Saccharomyces cerevisiae S288C: one gene and its partners. Changing the gene in region 3 together with the main gene of any one other region gives a genetic interaction. Each region holds a gene or a part of one and is shown on either strand. Other genes may lie near its edges.

Region 1 (4,092 bases), on a different chromosome or scaffold from region 3:
TGCTGAAAATATCAAACAAAAATGGTACCAGCGACAGTCGAAGAAGCAAGAAGATGCAACAGACGAAAAAAAAGGTAAAGCGGAGGATGATAGCTTTACTGCCGAGATATCTCGAGTAGTTGAAGATGAAGAAATTGATGAAATTGGAACAGGTAGTGGTACCGAGACAGAAAGAGCTCAGGTTTCCTACGATGCCAGGATGAAATTAGTCCCTGCTGATAGTGATGAAGAAGAATATGAAACTAGCCACATTTCTGACACGCCAGTCAGTTTAAGTTCGGCTAATGACCGGGAATCATTGACTAAAAAAAGGCAAAATACTGCAAAAATTATCCAAAATCGTCGCAGAAAGCGTAAAAGAGCAGCTGACCTATTGGATAGACGCGTCAACAAAGTATCCAGCTTACAAAGTCTTTGTATTACGAAAATTAGTGAAAATATATCCAAGTGGCAAAAAGAGGCTGATGAATCATCAAAGTTGGTATTTAACAAATTGAGAGATGTCCTTGGTGGCGTATCAACCGCTAATTTGAATAATTTGGCAAAAGCACTATCGAAGAATAGGGCCCTGAATGATCATACTCTGCAACTTTTCTTGAAGACAGATCTAAAAAGGTTAACTTTCAGCGATTGTTCTAAAATTTCATTTGATGGTTACAAAACGCTAGCCATTTTTTCGCCACACCTAACCGAATTATCCCTACAAATGTGTGGGCAGTTGAACCATGAATCATTGCTTTACATTGCTGAAAAGCTTCCGAACTTGAAATCACTGAATTTAGATGGACCATTTCTGATCAACGAGGACACATGGGAGAAGTTCTTTGTAATAATGAAAGGTAGATTAGAAGAGTTCCACATTTCTAATACGCACCGCTTCACCGACAAATCATTATCTAATTTATTGATCAACTGCGGTTCTACCTTGGTATCCTTAGGGTTATCCAGACTAGATTCTATATCAAATTACGCTTTATTACCGCAGTACCTAGTCAACGACGAATTTCACAGTCTCTGTATTGAATATCCATTCAATGAAGAGGATGTTAACGATGAGATCATCATAAATCTGCTAGGTCAAATCGGGCGCACGTTACGTAAATTGGTTTTGAATGGCTGTATTGACTTGACAGATTCAATGATAATCAATGGTCTGACTGCATTCATTCCTGAGAAATGTCCATTGGAGGTATTGAGCTTGGAAGAATCAGATCAGATCACTACAGATTCACTGTCGTACTTTTTCAGCAAAGTAGAACTGAATAATTTGATTGAATGCAGCTTTAGAAGATGTCTACAATTGGGCGATATGGCAATTATAGAGCTATTGCTTAACGGAGCAAGAGATAGTCTGAGAAGCTTAAATCTCAATTCATTAAAAGAGCTAACTAAGGAGGCATTTGTGGCGTTAGCCTGTCCTAATCTGACGTATCTTGATCTTGGTTTTGTACGTTGTGTTGATGACTCGGTGATTCAAATGTTGGGTGAGCAAAATCCGAATTTAACTGTAATTGATGTTTTCGGAGACAATTTGGTTACTGAAAAGGCCACAATGAGGCCTGGACTTACGTTGATAGGGAGACAGAGTGACAGTATATAATAAAATAAAGACATATAAAACGTGTATTAGATAGAAAACGGAAAATTGACTAATGTTTTTATTCCTATTATACTCAGATCGTCAAATGTTGCCTTTATTTTCTATTGAAGGGATTTTATGGCATCTCGCGAATAATAAACAAACAATAATAGTAAAAAAAAAAGTGTAAACTTATGTATTCAGCGCAGATAAAAGGAAAAAAACGAGAAGTTTGACGTAAAGAAAAAAGTTCGAAAACTTTTGTAGCAGTTGAAAGTTTTGTATGCTATGTCAATTAGGCCTCTCACGTTAAACGGTTTAGATGAGCCAGAAACCTCTTTTGAAGAACTGAATACAACTCTACCTCGCTTTCAATCCCATGAAACATTAACTTTGGAAGAAAACGTGCCACCATTGAGTACATCAACTTATATACCGCCTCCATCCTCGGTAGGTACTTCTGACACTGGCACGGTATTTTCCAATAGTACCAGCGCGTTTTGGTCTAATAAGCAAGCAGACGATGATCAGGACATGGAGGTAGACCAGGATGATGAATTTCTAAATGACTTCCAGGAATTCCAAAATAAAAAGGATGATTTTGACGATGCTATTAAAACAAATTTTCATTTGAGAAATGGATGTCGAACTGGCCCTTTCAAAAACGACATTTTCGCAGAAGAGTTTGATAGAAAACTGAGTTTGGAAGATAAACCAAGGCTAAAGCAACCTAGATCAATGATGGAATTGAAACCAAAAAGAAAACTATCAAATAGCGTCACTTCAAGAAACTTAAGGTCTGGTAATTCTGTAAGATTTAAGAAATCTATGCCTAACTTAGCTTTAGTTAATCCAGCTATCAGAGAAGAAGAAGAGGACGAAGAACGAGAAAGAGAAGATCAACGAGAGTTTAATTACAAGATTGATAACGATACGCAGGACACAATTTTGGCGAAATTCAGTTCAGATGATGAAGGTGACTTTCTGACAGGATTTGAAGAATTAGAGGGTGAAGCAATTGATGAAACGATTTCTTCGAACGATAAAGAAAGTGCCGACCATCCGCGTTTCTTAAAGAAGTCATCCTCATCTTTGCCATTAAAAATATCACCTGCACAATATGATATAGTAAAGCATGACGAATTATTAACTCCAGGTCTTCATAGGCGACAACGAGATTGGAATACCCAGCAGGAACTGGACTCTTTTAAAGAAAAACGATCAGTAAGACACTGTTCTAATCAAAATGTACAACTCAATGGTCCAGCTAAAATCAAAACAATAAAACAGCAAATTGATCATAATACTCCAATGAAGAAAGGTTCTATGATATATAACCCGAAAACTATGAAGTGGGAAGGAAATGAAAACGTCTTAAGCAAATTTAGTGATGTAGACACGGCAAACAGGAAAGCTTTATTGATAAAAAACAAGCTACAACGAGATGCAGATTCTAAGAAGCAAAAATATTCTGATCTACAGCATGCAAGAGCCACTTCGAGAAATCAAAAGGTCATCGGGAACATGATTTTAGATGAACAAAATTTAAGATGGGTTAGTGTTTCAGAGGAAGAAGCAGACCCTTTTGCAGGCATTCCTGAGATAAACTTACCACCAGTTGGCAAAAGTATGAAAAAACGTAGCTCCTCACCATTTTTGCGTTCCAAAAGCCAAGTTAATACGCCATTTGTTTCAAATGACAATGATGGCGTTTATCAAAGTACGGCTGCTCAAGCAAGACTCCGTAAATACCATTCAATGAGGACACTTAACGGTACAACAGAAACTCCAGAAATAAGCTCTACTTTCCATTTGAGTTCAAGAGCATTGGAAAAATTTTACCACGAGGAGAACAGGTGGTGTAAAAAGTTAGCCTCATGGTTTATACCCCGAGATGAGACCATTATCAGTGTTGATGAGGAAACAATCATGGATGAAAGTACGGTCAATAGCAAGAGAAAATCCTATATGTATGAAATCAGGAACATGGTAATCAATTCGACAAAAGATTAGCCCTTTAGCCTTCTTATAACTGTTTCTTTACCGTTATCTTGAGTACATTCATTTCTCTTACATTCCAAAATTAGATAGAACCTTGAATCGTGTCAACTTTTCGCCGACATTTCGCGTCTGACAGAAAAAGAAATGTTGCAGAAAATTCGAATAGATGTTTCAAATGAAAATAGACCATGAGGGACACATTAACATTTCAAACAAAAGAGCCCTTGATGATTATTAAAACAGATCTTTATGGTTTGTTTAGCAAACACTTTGGTAATTTCATGAATATTTGACTAGCAGGAACAGAAAATCAAAAATGTTTAACCATGATTGGAAGTACTCCATTAATTCTAAGACTTTCGCCGATTTAAACATTGAATTATTTCGAAACCACAAGTTCAAAACTGTTTTAAATTACATAATAGGTGTAGTTGGGTGGAATGGATTAAAACTCGCCCTTTTTGTTTCTGACATTTACACATGTATCAAATTGCTGGCATTCAACTCCTGGT
Region 2 (4,049 bases), on a different chromosome or scaffold from region 3:
TTCTTTTTTTTCAAAAATTCGATGAACTGATTCCAAGCCTGAAATTAGTACACAAATTTCCAGAGGCTTATCCCACTGTTCAGGTTGATAGAGGTGCTATTAAATTCGTTCTCTCAGGTGCTAATATCATGTGCCCTGGCCTAACTTCTGCGGGTGCCGACTTACCACCTGCTCCTGGTTACGAGAAAGGTACGATTGTAGTCATCAATGCCGAAAATAAAGAGAATGCATTGGCTATTGGTGAATTGATGATGGGTACTGAAGAAATTAAATCAGTGAACAAAGGTCATTCCATAGAATTGATTCACCATTTGGGCGACCCCTTATGGAACTTCAGCGTTGAGTAACAAACGGAGCCGTCAACACTATATTACTATCCATCTGCTACATAATAAAATAAAGAAACTAAGAAAAAATTAGAATAACATCCGCTTACAATCTAAAAGGCTGTTTCCTGATTTTTAAATATGCAACTAGCCAAGATTAACTATATACTGTGATTACGATGGGCTGTTAACCTTCTGAATGCTCTTGTTATTTACTGGAGACGAAACATGAATAATATCTCCGTTCACAACATTAAAATCTGAAATGGGGCGAAAATTATACTTTATTTCGTTTATCATCCCTTCAGAATTTTCATGAAATAACTTAACATTCAGTATGTCAAAGTTTAGCTTTCGACATATTACACTCTTAACGTACCTTACTGTAAAACTGGGAAGGACCCAATAATCTAAATCACTACTCGGCTTCTTGCCAGCTCTTATCTTTATTTTTAAGACAAGAGATTGCCGTGTTTCTCTTTCATTGTTGAAACTTAGCTTACTCATATCGATTTCATACGACTTTATGAGGCTTGACCAACGCGGCAGATTGGTGTCATAGCTCAATTCGTTATTCATTACCTTGGAAACAAAAAACATCTCAGCCTCTCTTCTTGTTTTTACATCACATATTGATCCATTCAATACCATCACACGATCAAACCTAGCCAGTACTTCATAAAAAGTAGCCTGTTCTTCGACGTTAATATAATTTCCGTTGTAGTTGAATTCGTTGCCACTCAGATGGATATTTTTCAAAGAGGGAAATGTCTTATTCAAATCATCTATCAAACTTCTTTCCTTAAATTTGTTATCTGTTATATCCAAGGATTCAACAGAATAAATAGCAATACTTGGTGCTCTAGAAATTTGATTATTGGAGACATTTAAACCTTTCAATGTCAAATTTTTTGGAAACAATGGAAACGATATAAGATTATTTCCGCTAATATTCAGTTCCTCCAAAGTACACGGTATTTCATTCTCAAAATTTTGGATTCCCGCACTGGTCAAGTTGTTATAGCTTAAATCCAACATTTTCAGTGTCCTGAAGCTTTTGAGCAGCTTACCAATATGTTTATAACTTAAACCACAGGAAGACAGACGTAAAGTTTTGATGTGTGATAGGTCATATTCTTTCAAGTTGTCCCAACCGCTTAAAAGTTTATTTTGAGATATATTAAGGCTCTCCAAGTTCTTCAAAGGTTCTATGAACTCACATAAAGAGTTGATATTCGTGAATAGATTAAGCGATAAATCAAGGTCCTTGACGTTCACACAATTTTGTATTACACGGTTTAACTCATCTTGATTTTGAAACAATATAGCGACATCGGAATCTCGCAAAGCTATTTTTCTTAACTTCTTATAATTCTTATTTCTCGCATTTAGTTCATCGAATCCCAAACCCTCAACCCTTTTGTTACCTATAGATAGGTCATTAATGTTATTACTCGAGCCTCCATACTTTTCTGACAATGCTTCGTAAAACGTAATTCTGCGTACACCTGGAGATTTAATCTTAGACTCCTTCAAAAATGATCCTGAATTAGGAATTTGAACGTCAAAATAGTGTATGTCATCTATTGTTCCAGAATGTTTTCCCCGGCTGTGATCGTCCCATTCCACCCCATAAGCTTTTACCGAAGGCCACGGCTTAATAACACCTATGAATTTGATGGTGCAAAAATATCCACCAATCTTGAGTCTGTCCCCAATTTCATAAGTCATGCTATCTCTGAAATTCGTTTTGCATTTTATATTTTGTATATCTTATATATGAAACATAATAAAAGTTGGAACTTTTTAATGATTTCTTTGTCCAAAGAGCAAAAAGGCAGTAAAACTAAAAAAAATAAGATGTATAGTAATGAGTTTAAAAGCACACCTATAATTTACAGTAATGTTATTTGATGATAAAGAAAAAATAAGAAACACCCCTTACATAAAAATAGCCTTACATATGACTTATTTATTCCATCATTGTATCTTGATCTTTGCTAGCATCTATGGCCTTGTCAAGAGAGCTAAATAATCCATCCAAATCAAATTCTTTGGACCACTCGGATACAATGGTGGATTCATTTGCTGCAATTGGAGCTTGTTTAGTGCCAGTGTTTATAGTACTTAGATTTTGTTTATCTTGTTGAGATGCAGCTGCCGATGTATTTGGTAAAACCCAACCAAGAATTTTACCATCCCTCCAGTCATTAAGTACCGAAAGACCAGCACTGGCAAGATTTGGAATACCGCCTTTCCCTAATCTACCTCTTTTACGAGCGACGTGAATTAAGAAATGTTTTGTAAACGTATCTGCATCATTAGCAGGAATAGGAGGAATTTCATACAGCTTTTTAAAGCTCTCTGTCATTTCATCTGATTTAGCTAGTCTCTTTACCAACATTAAGACAGCTGGATACGGATCAACAATGTGTTTTGCCGGTAGAGCATTTAGAAGAGCTAATTCAGCTTCATGTTCAACTTTCGATCTTTTCTTATTTTCGCTTGGGAAACATATACCAGGAGAATCTAGAATCTTCAACTTGTTGTCGATTTTGATCTCTCTCAGAGAGGTAGTAACACCTGCTTCATTACCGACTGGGCAAGCCTTTGATTGACCTCCACGGCGCGCCAAAAGAGCGTTGATAACAGATGATTTACCAACATTTGGATAACCGATAACACCCACTACAATAGATCTCTTCAAATTGCTGTTATTAGAGTAAGTTTTCAGCGACTCTAGCAGTGCACTTGCAGTAGTGGTTTGGCTTAGCTTTCTGTTGAAAGAAGTTCCGTTGACTGCACCAGAAGAAGCTCTTAATGGGATTGTAGGAAAACTAGACTTTAAGTAATTTAACCATTGTTCCAATACATGTGGGGGAATTAAATCAACTTTGTTCAGTATTAAAATCAGCCTTTTACCCTGACTTTGTAAGACGGCTTCTTCCACCTTTCTTGATCTTGTACTCTCTGGATCTCTGGCATCCAAAACATATAGGATGACATCAGAAGCATCAATAACGGATTTGAAAATCTTGTCATAAGCTTTCCTAGATTTTTCAAGTTCTGACTCGCCTTCTACATCTTCACCGTAGAAATCAATGTTATAATCAATGACGTCCAATTCATCATCACGAACATCTGCATCATTAGAGGGTGTGCCCTCATATTCAGCAGCTGCTTGCTGAGCAGACTCAACCAAAGCTGCTAATCCATTTTCATCGTCTTCTATCATGTCTTCATCCATTGCATCAACGCCTTGTTCCTTGGCAGCTTTCCTAGCCTCCAATCGTTGTTGTTTGGCAAGCTCTCTTTCCTCTAAGTCCTTCATTTTTTTGGCTTCTATTTCTTCTAAGATCTTAGCCTTATAAGGAAAGTTAGAAGGAATACCAGGGTCTTTCTTAGACCTTGATCTCCAAGTAACGTCCTTCTTAGCCATCTTCTTTTCCTTTTTTCTATGGGCAGAAGCCTTCTTCTTAATACCTTCCTTCAACTTGGTAGATGTTCTTCTAGATTGGCGCTTTCTGACTCTCATTTTATGATATTATAGTCGTGACTGTATACCTATATGCTTGTTCTTGTGTGTACCAAAGTATTACTAGTACAATTCCCTCTTGATATAATTAGCTCATCTCATCGCCTCGCTCGAAAATTTTCAGCAGCTGTGAGAAAAAAATTTCAAAAAAAAAACAGAAGCGACGTTTAGAGTGACGTGAATCACTG
Region 3 (3,641 bases):
AGACGTTTCATGTTTGTTTCATCATCGCACCAAAATGAGACAGCGCGAAAAGTGACAGTGCAATTATGCCATTCAATACGTCAAAAAGGGCATCCTGCAGAGATACAACTCTGTTTTGAAAGGGTCCACATGGTAAATATGGAAGCAAAAGAAGGATTGAGGCATCACTGACAACAAAATTGTCTTGCAGCCCAATTAATAAAAAAAAATAAAGTTATATATATAAACAAATACGTAAACAAAGGATAGAAGGCGAACTGAATCATCGTTCAGTAGCGGTTCTGGTTGCCGTTATTGTTCTGTTGAGAAAAGTTGCCAGAAAAATTGAAGGATTCGTGCTGTCCATTGGAGTTCTGGTTTCCGCCGTATTGCGGTCTTCCGTACTCATTGGATTGCTGTTGACCATTCTGTTGCGGTCTACCATACTCATTAGCCTGTTGCTGGCCCCCATAACTCGAATTTGAATTGGAGTTATTGCCCAGGTAGGAACTTGCCATGGAAGCCAAAGCTGAGAATGAACTGGAGTGGCCTTGTTGCTGCTGCTGACCCTGTTGTTGATGCTGATAGTTTTGGCCTTGTTGCTGGTATTGCTGCTGGTTGTTTTGGCCTTGTTGATTGTATTGCTGTTGGTTGGATTGAGTTTGTCCACCACCTAAGTAAGATTGAGCCATGGAGGCCAATGAGGAAAAAGCACCACCAGATTGTCCCTGTTGTTGTTGGTAACCACCGTTGCCACCTTGGTACTGTTGATTATTGTAACCTTGACTATTTTGGTTACCGTTTTGATAGGATTGGTTATAGCCCTGTTGACTATTGTTGGAGTTCTGATTATTATTGGAATGCATAAAAGAGCTTGCCATAGAAGCCAGTGCTCCAAAGGAGGAACCACCGGAGCTTTGATTTTGACCTTGCTGATTATTGTTGTTGGAATTCATGAAAGATGAAGCCAAAGACGCCAAAGCAGTAAAAGAACCTTGACCTTGACCTTGTCCTTGACCTTGACCTTGACCTTGACCTTGTCCCTGACCTTGGGAATTGTTACCTGACTTAAAGAATTGAGAAGCCAAGGCAGCCAGGCCGGAAGCACCCATACTTTGGCTCCCGCCGCCAGAACCACTTAGCATTGACATGACAGTCCCTACGTCAAACCCTCTGTTAGAAGAACCTTTATTTGATGAGTGTGTCATCACTGTGGCTAACAAAGCTAGTTTTCCTAGTTGCGTTTGGGAAGAACCCTTAGAGTCTGCCATTAAAGTGTTCATAAAAGATGAACCACCACCAGCAGCACGATCTTGCGAGGCGTCACTACCACCACTACGGTTGTCCATGACGTATCCTGCGATTTTTTGAATTAATGATTCAATAGTTGACATTTGCTCGTCATTGGGGTTCGACTGAGCTGCGGATGTCAACTTCGCAACAGCTTCTGCATGGTTTCCTTGAGAAAAATGAGACTCAGCCTCTGAGATTAACTTATCCGTATCCATTTCAGATCTTTGCTATACGTTTGTATCGCTATATGTACGTTCTTTTAATGAACTTTCTCCTTTCTTTATCGTGTAGCTTGCTTGGGTATCTTTTAATGAGTTGCGGACAGTGAGATTTTTCAGAAGGGCAATTGGCCAAGACACCAAAAACGTTTGGACGAGACAGGCATCAAAGGACAAGGTAAAAGGCGTTGAGCTGTGGCTGGCTGTGTATGCGTTTGAAATACCATGGATAGATATCAAAGAAAGATAGGATGTTTCATACAAATCCCAAATTTGGGGCGCGGACAACTGAAATACGTGGGTCCAGTGGACACGAAAGCTGGAATGTTTGCTGGTGTAGACTTACTTGCCAACATTGGTAAGAACGATGGATCATTCATGGGGAAGAAGTATTTTCAAACGGAGTATCCTCAAAGTGGACTATTTATTCAGTTGCAAAAAGTCGCATCATTGATCGAGAAGGCATCGATATCGCAAACCTCGAGAAGAACGACAATGGAACCGCTATCAATACCCAAAAACAGATCTATTGTGAGGCTCACTAACCAGTTCTCTCCCATGGATGATCCTAAATCCCCCACACCCATGAGAAGTTTCCGGATCACCAGTCGGCACAGCGGTAATCAACAGTCGATGGACCAGGAGGCATCGGATCACCATCAACAGCAAGAATTTGGTTACGATAACAGAGAAGACAGAATGGAGGTCGACTCTATCCTGTCATCAGACAGAAAGGCTAATCACAACACCACCAGCGATTGGAAACCGGACAATGGCCACATGAATGACCTCAATAGCAGCGAAGTTACAATTGAATTACGAGAAGCCCAATTGACCATCGAAAAGCTACAAAGGAAACAACTACACTACAAAAGGCTACTCGATGACCAAAGAATGGTCCTCGAAGAAGTGCAACCGACTTTTGATAGGTATGAAGCCACAATACAAGAAAGAGAGAAAGAGATAGACCATCTCAAGCAACAATTGGAGCTCGAACGCAGACAGCAAGCCAAACAAAAGCAGTTTTTTGACGCTGAGAATGAACAGCTACTTGCTGTCGTAAGCCAACTACACGAAGAGATCAAAGAAAACGAAGAGAGAAATCTTTCTCATAATCAACCCACTGGTGCCAACGAAGATGTCGAACTCCTGAAAAAACAGCTGGAACAATTACGCAACATAGAAGACCAATTTGAGTTACACAAGACAAAGTGGGCTAAAGAACGCGAACAATTGAAAATGCATAACGATTCGCTCAGTAAAGAATACCAAAATTTGAGCAAGGAACTATTTTTGACAAAACCACAAGATTCCTCATCGGAAGAGGTGGCATCCTTAACGAAAAAACTTGAAGAGGCTAATGAAAAAATCAAACAGTTGGAACAGGCTCAAGCACAAACAGCCGTGGAATCGTTGCCAATTTTCGACCCCCCTGCACCAGTCGATACCACGGCAGGAAGACAACAGTGGTGTGAGCATTGCGATACGATGGGTCATAATACAGCAGAATGCCCCCATCACAATCCTGACAACCAGCAGTTCTTCTAGGCAGTCGAACTGACTCTAATAGTGACTCCGGTAAATTAGTTAATTAATTGCTAAACCCATGCACAGTGACTCACGTTTTTTTATCAGTCATTCGATATAGAAGGTAAGAAAAGGATATGACTATGAACAGTAGTATACTGTGTATATAATAGATATGGAACGTTATATTCACCTCCGATGTGTGTTGTACATACATAAAAATATCATAGCACAACTGCGCTGTGTAATAGTAATACAATAGTTTACAAAATTTTTTTTCTGAATAATGGTTTTGCCGATTCTACCGTTAATTGATGATCTGGCCTCATGGAATAGTAAGAAGGAATACGTTTCACTTGTTGGTCAGGTACTTTTGGATGGCTCGAGCCTGAGTAATGAAGAGATTCTCCAGTTCTCCAAAGAGGAAGAAGTTCCATTGGTGGCTTTGTCCTTGCCAAGTGGTAAATTCAGCGATGATGAAATCATTGCCTTCTTGAACAACGGAGTTTCTTCTCTGTTCATTGCTAGCCAAGATGCTAAAACAGCCGAACACTTGGTTGAACAATTGAATGTACCAAAGGAGCGTGTTGTTGTGGAAGAGAACGGTGTTTTCTCCAATCAATT

Evidence for each region. Genes that interact genetically often act in the same process or in processes that back each other up.
Region 1: mutations in BIK1 (region 3) and BFA1 together harm fitness more than expected from each alone (negative genetic interaction), as found in Saccharomyces cerevisiae (4 studies listed by BioGRID, with this or other methods).
Region 2: mutations in BIK1 (region 3) and PAC2 together harm fitness more than expected from each alone (negative genetic interaction), as found in Saccharomyces cerevisiae (3 studies listed by BioGRID, with this or other methods).

The regions. Positions count from the first base shown.
Region 1 is NC_001142.9:532,160-536,251, forward strand, and holds BFA1 (Bfa1p), read left to right. Parts: upstream 1-1,867; coding exon 1,868-3,592; downstream 3,593-4,092. Other genes in the region: UV-damaged DNA-binding protein RAD7, read left to right, coding at 1-1,600; KCH1 (Kch1p), read left to right, coding at 3,897-4,092. UniProt on the Saccharomyces cerevisiae protein: Part of a checkpoint which monitors spindle integrity and prevents premature exit from mitosis. This cell-cycle arrest depends upon inhibition of the G-protein TEM1 by the BFA1/BUB2 complex.
Region 2 is NC_001137.3:162,535-166,583, reverse strand, and holds PAC2 (Pac2p), read right to left. Parts: upstream 2,058-4,049; coding exon 501-2,057; downstream 1-500. Other genes in the region: TMA20 (translation machinery-associated protein 20), read left to right, coding at 1-347; RNA-binding GTPase NUG1, read right to left, coding at 2,299-3,861. UniProt on the Saccharomyces cerevisiae protein: Required for viability in the absence of the kinesin-related CIN8 mitotic motor. Seems to be involved in the assembly of alpha-tubulin.
Region 3 is NC_001135.5:67,996-71,636, reverse strand, and holds BIK1 (Bik1p), read left to right. Parts: upstream 1-1,715; coding exon 1,716-3,038; downstream 3,039-3,641. Other genes in the region: prion domain-containing protein RNQ1, read right to left, coding at 270-1,487; HIS4 (trifunctional histidinol dehydrogenase/phosphoribosyl-AMP cyclohydrolase/phosphoribosyl-ATP diphosphatase), read left to right, coding at 3,304-3,641. UniProt on the Saccharomyces cerevisiae protein: Required for nuclear fusion, chromosome disjunction, and nuclear segregation during mitosis. Probably required for the formation or stabilization of microtubules during mitosis and for spindle pole body fusion during conjugation.